Arabidopsis thaliana: one gene and its partner. The protein of the gene in region 2 interacts with the protein of the main gene of each other region in a pairwise test. Each region holds a gene or a part of one and is shown on either strand. Other genes may lie near its edges.

What was found. The genes of interacting proteins can lie anywhere in the genome.
Region 1: the proteins of AT3G42725 (region 2) and MEB2 interact in a two-hybrid assay, tested with the Arabidopsis thaliana proteins (one large-scale study listed by BioGRID).

Annotation. Positions count from the first base shown.
Region 1 is NC_003076.8:8,262,623-8,267,737, forward strand, and holds MEB2 (Vacuolar iron transporter (VIT) family protein), read right to left. Parts: upstream 3,127-5,115; 5' UTR 2,997-3,126; coding exon 2,768-2,996; intron 2,610-2,767; coding exon 1,947-2,609; intron 1,843-1,946; coding exon 1,789-1,842; intron 1,591-1,788; coding exon 1,411-1,590; intron 1,267-1,410; coding exon 1,205-1,266; intron 1,114-1,204; coding exon 649-1,113; 3' UTR 510-648; downstream 1-509. Other genes in the region: SS1 (Glycogen/starch synthases, ADP-glucose type), read left to right, coding at 4,312-4,567, 4,862-5,115. UniProt on the Arabidopsis thaliana protein: May sequester excess cytosolic iron and manganese into endoplasmic reticulum to reduce metal ion toxicity. Not essential for the accumulation of ER body components, including PYK10.
Region 2 is NC_003074.8:14,842,295-14,845,301, reverse strand, and holds AT3G42725 (Putative membrane lipoprotein), read left to right. Parts: upstream 1-1,583; 5' UTR 1,584-1,611; coding exon 1,612-2,220; 3' UTR 2,221-2,453; downstream 2,454-3,007.

The DNA.
Region 1 (5,115 bases), on a different chromosome or scaffold from region 2:
CTTCGGGCGCACGCACTTCCTTTATCACACGTCAGCTTAATACTTTCTTCTTTTTATTTGTCGTCACATCAAATTACCCAAAACATTGTATTTACATTTATATCTTTAGCATTTAATTACATTATATTTTGAGTAAAAATTGGGAGTATGATCTTATTTTGTTGACTTGATATATATGTGGACTGTATTTATTGATCAAAAGATATCTTTATCTTTTATTTTTTTACTAAAAATAAATAAATTTCATTTTTTAATGAATCAAACGATTTAACTAACTGGTTAAATATATAAAAAGTTGTTGTATATGGCTAACAATATAACATGTCAAAATCTCTCCTCAATTACAATTATACAAATCTTATATACCTATGGAGCTTGACATTGTTATACACATAGTTTGAATGGTGACGAAACCATATCTTTGTTACTATTTAAATTTTACTGTATCTTATCCGCAGTTAAACCGCATCATTCCGATTATTTCATTCGGAAAGAGATAAGACATCATTAAAGAAAAACCTCAAAACACATTTATTCTATGAAAGCATTAGTTTTGATTTTTTACTAGAAAAGATACAGAGATTTAGTAAGTAATTAGAACAGAAATTATACAACGTTGGTCAGACCGGTTCTTAGTCCCACTGTATATTAAAAGGAAGTAAACCGGCACTCCTCGGGTTTAATTCCATAACATGGTGAAGTTATACTGATCTGGTCTAAACCAACCAAACTGAGCTTCTCGATATACTCTCCCATAATATCTCCGACAACGTATGAGATTCCGCAAGAAGCAACAACAATAGACGTATAATAAGCCGCAGATTTGAGATAAGCTTTAGTCGATCCACATGAATTGGTTGGTTTTCGGACATAGACCTTGATCGAACCGAGCAAAATTACGCAAACCAGAGAACCCAAGAAAACCGAGATGAGCTTGTAGTTCTTGATTCCGGTTTCGTAGAAGGAAAATGCGTAAACTAACGGAGGAATTAGGCCGAAGAAAATGTAAGACATGACCGCTACTAAGATATGTATCCGGGATTTAGTACGTCTCCCTAACAATTCCTCGTACCTATCTTTCTCTTGATCTGAACTGTTTCTTAGATCTTGAAACTGCAATAAAAAAAAACCCGAACCGGTTAAAATAAGAAACCCCATAGGCAATCTGTGGCACGAGAAAACGTTTTTTGGTTCAAGTAATTACGTTTTGAGCGAGGACGATGAGCCCACCGGCCAAATTTGCGACAGCAAGAGCCAATATATTCACTGAAACAACAACAAAAAATAATAGACGAAATTATTATATAGTGTTACTATTTATAACAAGGACCAATCTGATGATTAGATAGCCGATAAACTAATCTCGCATTTGTTTGCTAACTAAAAGGAAAATGGAGTCTAGAGACTTACTGGTGGAGGAACCAGAGGCAGAAGCAGATGATACAACGCCGAGGCTGGTGATGGTCTCAGTGAGACCGCCGTAGACGGTGCTCTTTAACAACTCAATGGCGAATCTTTCTCCGTCCGGTTGAATTTGTGGTGGTGATTGTGTGGTGTTTATACTCTTCCTCACATCTATATATTCTTCAACTGCATATAGTTTGCAAATTTTCTTTGGGTACAAAATATATGTAGTTCTATCGAATATTCAAATACCAAAGATAAGCCTATAAACATTTTTTATGATCAAAGAAACCGTTGTTGATTTTTTCCCAAATTGAAATCAATTTGTCTAGTCCGGTTTAGGTGAGAGGAGTAATATTTTTGTTTCAATTCACGATAACATACCTGATTTCTCAACCGGTTTTCCCCTGATATAATCAAGTTGTAAGAACTTTGTTCCTGAAATTTAAAATATAAAACCAGGGTTGATCCATCAAGTTTACAAAACCAAGAAAACCTGGAAAGAATTGACTCAGAACCGGTTTAATTAAGGTTTGATTTACCTAACCGGATGAAGTACTTTAGATCACAAACCAAGCAAGTAAAGATAGTTCCCTCTTTATCTTCTTGATCATCCTCAATCCGAGTCTCAGGGACATAAACCTTAACTGGTGATTCCATCTCCTCAATGTCGCTTGGTTCGTCCGGTTCAACAACCGGTATATCGGGTTTCAGATCCAGAGATGAATTAACGTGCTTCCCTCGTTTTCTTTTCTTGAGAACCACATTTCTGGTGATACATGTGCTACAGCTAGGACAGTAAAGCTCGTAGTTTTCTTGTGTCGCAAGCAAATTCTCTAGGTTTGACTTCTCTTCTGAATCTGACGATGATCTCTCGTTCTTTTCTTCATCCTCATTTCCAAGCTCATAGTTTTCTTGTGTCCCAAGCAACTTCTCTAGGTTTGACTTCTCTTCTGAATCCGATAATGATCTCTCGTTATTTTCTTCTTCCTCTTCTATCTCACAATCTTCTCCATTCCGTTGCCTTTTGTTCTCTACATTTGGCAAGTTTGTGGAGCTCGACTCTAACCAATTATTACCATTTTCTTCGTTTGAACCGGTTTCAGATTCTTCGTTTGAACCGGTTTCGCTCACAGTACTCTCAAGTACTATTGGATCTGAATCGGAAAATAGCGATGATGTACTTTCACTAACAGAATTGTTACCTACGATGGCAATTAATACCAAAAATAAACGAGAGATTGATCTACCGGTTAAGCAGGTTTGTGTCCGGTTAAAAATTAGGATCCTAACCAATTAGTAGAGGTACCAAAAATTAAAAGACAAAAAAACATGTAAGAAACTGACAAGTTGACTAATGTACCTTGAGCTTGAGATCCATCATTATCCTCTTCCAACTCTATCTCGGTGGTGTTGACCGGCGCCGGAGCCGTCGCTGCCGCCTTGGATCGAAATTCTCGGGCGGGAACATTATCTTTACCAAATCTATAGCTCTCAAGAAGATCAACCAAAAATTCAGCATCAACGATTTCTTTATCTCCGTCCTTCAATTCGGACAAGGTTACATGAACTGGTTGGTTTGACTTTTCCATATCAATCCCTATGTAATGAATCTGATTCCAATGTTCTTTAAAGTGATTATGAGTTAATGAAGGAGATATTATGATTTGTGAGTCTCTCTCTCTCTTTTCTTCTTTTTTCTTTTTTAAATTTAAAAAAAAAACACAGTTGTTCCTAATTATCGTGTCCAATCATATGATCTTTTATATATATACATAAATAATACCCACGAGGGAAGCACGAGGGGTTAAATATTCGTAACGAGGATTACTTTTGGATTTTGGTAATTAGGGAAGGTGTCATAGTTAATTAGCACTCTATTTAAACATGTTAATATATGTCAGTTTCAAAACAAAAAAAAAAAATTGTGTGGTATAGTATATGTCTTCTTTTTGTCATCAGTATATGTCATGAAATTGATCCATAAGGTTTTAGAAAAATGATTTTAAATGATTAAAAAATATTAGAAGTAATACGAAAGGTGCAATATTGATTAAATAAATACAAACTGTGATAGTATGATACCACGTAAAATAAATTACTACAGAAAATGAATATCACATGATAAAAATACTAGTAGTCAACTCTTTAATAACTCATAATGACGAGGAAAGTGGGAAACGTTACAGTTAGTTGGAAACAACGAACCATATTCAAAACGTGTATAGTTAATGACTTCTTATTTATTATGAAGCCCATTAGACATTTGTTTCTTGGGCCTATATATTTCATTCACAATAATCGGCCCATAAAATTAACCAAAAGCCCAATCCAAGTAAATCACCATAAAGCTGGAACACATAAACTGGAGCCCACTAATTTACACGTGGCACAATATGAGGCTCCAATTTCGGCAAGAAGTGTGTGATCTTTTTTTTACTCGTTCTTGATCTTCGCGCTTTTCTGATAGATCCTCTTGGGACAATAAAACCATTAAAATATCGGAGAGTAAATTTTATAAAACCAAAGGCAAAAATTGCATAGATCAGAAAATATTTGTTGCAACTATTGAAATTATTTTTGTTGGTTCGAAATTTTTACATATTTATGTTGGTTATGACTCTTATGGAAATGATAATGTGTTTTAAGGAATAAAATTAAAATTGATTCTGTTTCATACTAAAATATCAAACAAAAAAAAAAAATTTGTTTTGGCAAAGAATAAAGGTTTTAGTGTACTCTTTCTCTGTGGTTAACTTTAAAGTTTTGGAAGCATGTCGGCGAAGCTGGAAGGAGATTCTTTACGTAGTAGATAGGCCACAGGTGGTTTCAATCTTCCCCAACAACCAGACGAAATCAAACATAAATCTGTAACAGTCGAAGAAACTCTCACTCTTTAATTGATCAATGGCGTCTCTTCAAATCAGTGGCTCCGTTAAATTCGAGCCGTTCGTTGGATTCAACCGGATCCGCCATTTCCGTCCGATCGCCAGTCTCGGATTTCCTCGTTTTCGACGGAGATTCAGTATCGGACGGTCATTGTTGCTTCGTCGTTCTTCTTCCTTCTCCGGTGACTCTCGTGAGTCTGATGAAGAGAGATTTATCACAGACGCAGAGAGAGATGGTTCTGGCTCCGTTCTTGGCTTTCAGCTCACTCCTCCTGGTAAATGTCGTTAAACTCGTGATTGAGTTCTTCATAGTGTTTCTTCCAATTTCCTCAACGAACAGTGATTTATTCTCTGATTTGTGCATAATCTAGGGATTTTGTGATGGTTTATCGAATGTGATTTCAATTTGTAAAAAGTGAATGATTCTCTTGAATTTTGCTTGTGGTCCTCAGATTCAAAGCTATTACGTTTTTCAAATTTCAGAATCTTTCATATTCAAAAAATTCTGATATAAAGTAGCACGATTTTGCTCAGAATCTCGAAGATGAACTCGATTTTTCCTTGTACAGGTGATCAACAAACAGTTAGCACTAGCACAGGAGAAATTACACATCATGAAGAGAAGAAAGAGGCTATTGATCAAATTGTAATGGCTGACTTTGGCGTACCTGGAAATAGAGCTGTTGAAGAAGGAGCTGCAGAGGTTGGGATTCCGAGTGGAAAAGCTGAAGTTGTCAATAACCTTGTTTTCGTTACATCCGAGGCGGCTCCTTACTCGAAAACAGGAGGATTAGGAGATGTTTGTGGTTCTTTGCCGATAGCT
Region 2 (3,007 bases):
CCGCTTCTCCTTCCCTGGACCATGCTGCTTCCTCGGGACTTCTTCGTTTGCTTTATTCCCAGCCATAGCTAAAGTTGCTATCTCGCCGGAGGTTCAAATTTCGTCGGAATAAACAGTAACTTTTTCTTGGCTTCGCCGGGAAAAACAGTAACTTTCTCTTCCCCGGATGTGGGAGTTCAGTGACTCAATTCAACTACCCAACAATTCGAAGTTATGTCGAATTTTGAAACAATGGATACTGAATTTCGTTTCGCTTTCTAATTCTCTCTCAAATCTCTCCGTTACTCTCTTCTCTTTTTCTTTTTCTTCGGTTTCTTCGTTTCAGTTTTTTTGTTTTGTCTTTTTCAAAACTGAACCGCATCAACTAAACCGAAACCAACTGCTGTAGGGTTTGGTTTATGCCATCAACTGAACCGATACGAACTGCTGCACGGTTTGGTTTGTGCCATTATTAAGTTTTCCCAAGGTAATTTGGTCCGAAATTGAATGAAAAGACAAACCGTAAAAACCAGTTCTCACTTTGACAAACGGTGAGAGCAAATCTTTTTTCGTCCACTTCTGTAAATTTTTTTTTAATGGTTAGTTTGCTTTTAATATTAAAATATTAAATATATTGGTTTTGAGACACTAAAAAAATAATTATGCAATGAGAATGCTCTAATGGTCTAATCTATGGTTTTCCGTTGATTAATACAAACCTTATTTTTTATTACTTGTGTCAAATTTCACCGTCCTATTTTTGGTGTCTTCAAACATCTTTGTTTTATGTTTACCTTTTTTGTTTTAATTATATTATTAAAGATTGTGTCTTGGTTTGAAGGAAAGAAAAATCTTTAGATGCATATTCTATTGTTTTTAAGCTCTTAATTTTTTATTAGAGTTTCAATTGGCTTAACTACAGTGACAAATAAAAGAATTAATGATCGATTGTGTTTCGACGATGATTTTTTTACCGAAATATATACCCAACGACCAAGGTTGATCTTGGAAATCGTACGATTACTCATCGAACACATGTTGTTTTGCACGCAGTTGTTGACACGTGGGTTTGGATGGAGTCAAGACACAATTTCTTTTGCAGTTAAACAGTAATCTTATAAGCTCATATTGTACCTCAATATTTTTATAATCTTTTTTGGGATTTTTGGTATAGTCTATGTATATGTAAATAAAATATTAAAATATTGCAATTGAGAAAGAAGAAAAATTTAAATATTTTAGATGCTTAAAAAATACAATTGACATAAAAGAGTATTTTATGGACAACATGAAATATATCAAAAATAATAATCCTTTTCAAATTTCTATTCGAGTAGCAATTTAGTTTTAGGTCTTTGAGAAGAAAAGAAAAAAAAAAGCAATTTAGTTTCAGGCATTTATGTAAACAATAATGATAAAATAGTATTACTAATTCAAATATATACGACCGTCATTTTCGTGAGGCTAAAGGTCAAAAATCTATTACAATACTTTTGTGAAGCCCATTATGTCAATATAACCGTTAAACCTCATCATAGCCGTTACATCTTCTCCCCAACGGGCGCTTAGTTTCTTACTTTACCTATATAAAACTTGAAACAAACAAAAAAAACATAATTTCACAAAACATCAATGGCTTCTTTTCACAGAAAGTTATGTTTGTTCCAAAACATTCTCGTATCGTGTCTGAATTTCACTCTCCTCCTCCTCTCCCTCTGTTCTTTCGTACCAATCATTCTTCTTAGAAACCCTCCAACTTCACTCGGTTTAGCCTTCCTCGCAGTCTCACTCGTCTCTCTGATCTCCTCTTTCGGTAGTGCCTCTTCGCACCAATCTCGATCATGTTTCATCGCGCGGATAACGCTTCATGTTTCCTCACTGACGGGTCAGTTTATTGCAGTTTTAATGTTGTTTAGTAGAGAGAAACAGAGTCTTTCTTTGCTGATATCGACTCGAGACCCTAGAGAGGCTAAAGCTTTGGTTAGAGTAGAATGTGGTGTTTTCGTGGCGATGATTCCGTTACAGATAATGGTTCTAGTGCTGGCTTGTTTGTTACATTGTTATTGGGTTAGAGAGTTCGAAGGGTTAGATGTTGAGAGTGAAGATTCTTTTAGAAGAAAATGTAACCGAAGAGTCTCGACCGCTGAAGATGGGACTAGTTCGGATTTAAAGAAAATGGAGTTGGACGAGAAGATGAATGTGAAACATGTTCAGTGGGTTAAAACAGATTTCGAAGGTTAAAGTGTTTTTATGAATCTATAGTTTGTGATTATTGTTCAAACTTCAAAGTTATATTTTATGTCTTAGTTAAGAAAATTATTTATTTGCTGTTACAAAACTTTGTTAGGTTTTCTACAATGTTGTAAGTAATATGTATGGCTACTTGAATTGTCCTAGTAATGGTTGATCTTGTATTTTTTTCTCTCGTACATCCACCATTAGTGGGTAATTTACATACATACACTAGTACAAAGATGCATGTATTTATTTTGCATTCTTTCATAACCATAAGAAAGATGTCTTAATATCATCATACTACGATCCATTAGCTGTTCCTAAGATCTCAGAGATTCAAAGCAAATTATTCGGCTCAACGATCAAACACATCCTAATGTAAAAAGAAGAAGAACCAAAAACAACCTAATCCAAAAGGGAAAAGCACCAAAAACCTAACTAGAAACTCTTTAAGACTGGACTCGGGTTTTGGAAACCTCTACGGTTGTATGTGATACCGTATCTCGTATCAATATCTTGACCTTGGGTGAGGTGGTGGCAAGCTTCAACAGGTTCTTCAATATCTTGAGCTTGGGTGAAGCGGTGGCAAGCTTCAACAGATTCTTCAATATCTTGAGCTTGGGTGAAGCGGTGGCAAGTTCCAATAGATCCTTTGTGAGTTGCACCTTTTGGGGGTCATCCATTGGAGATGACAACTTTCACAACTTCAAGACACTCCATTTCCAGTAAGAAATGGCTAATCTGTTTCAGCACGTGTGCACTTCCTTGATAATGCATGATACTCAATATCTTT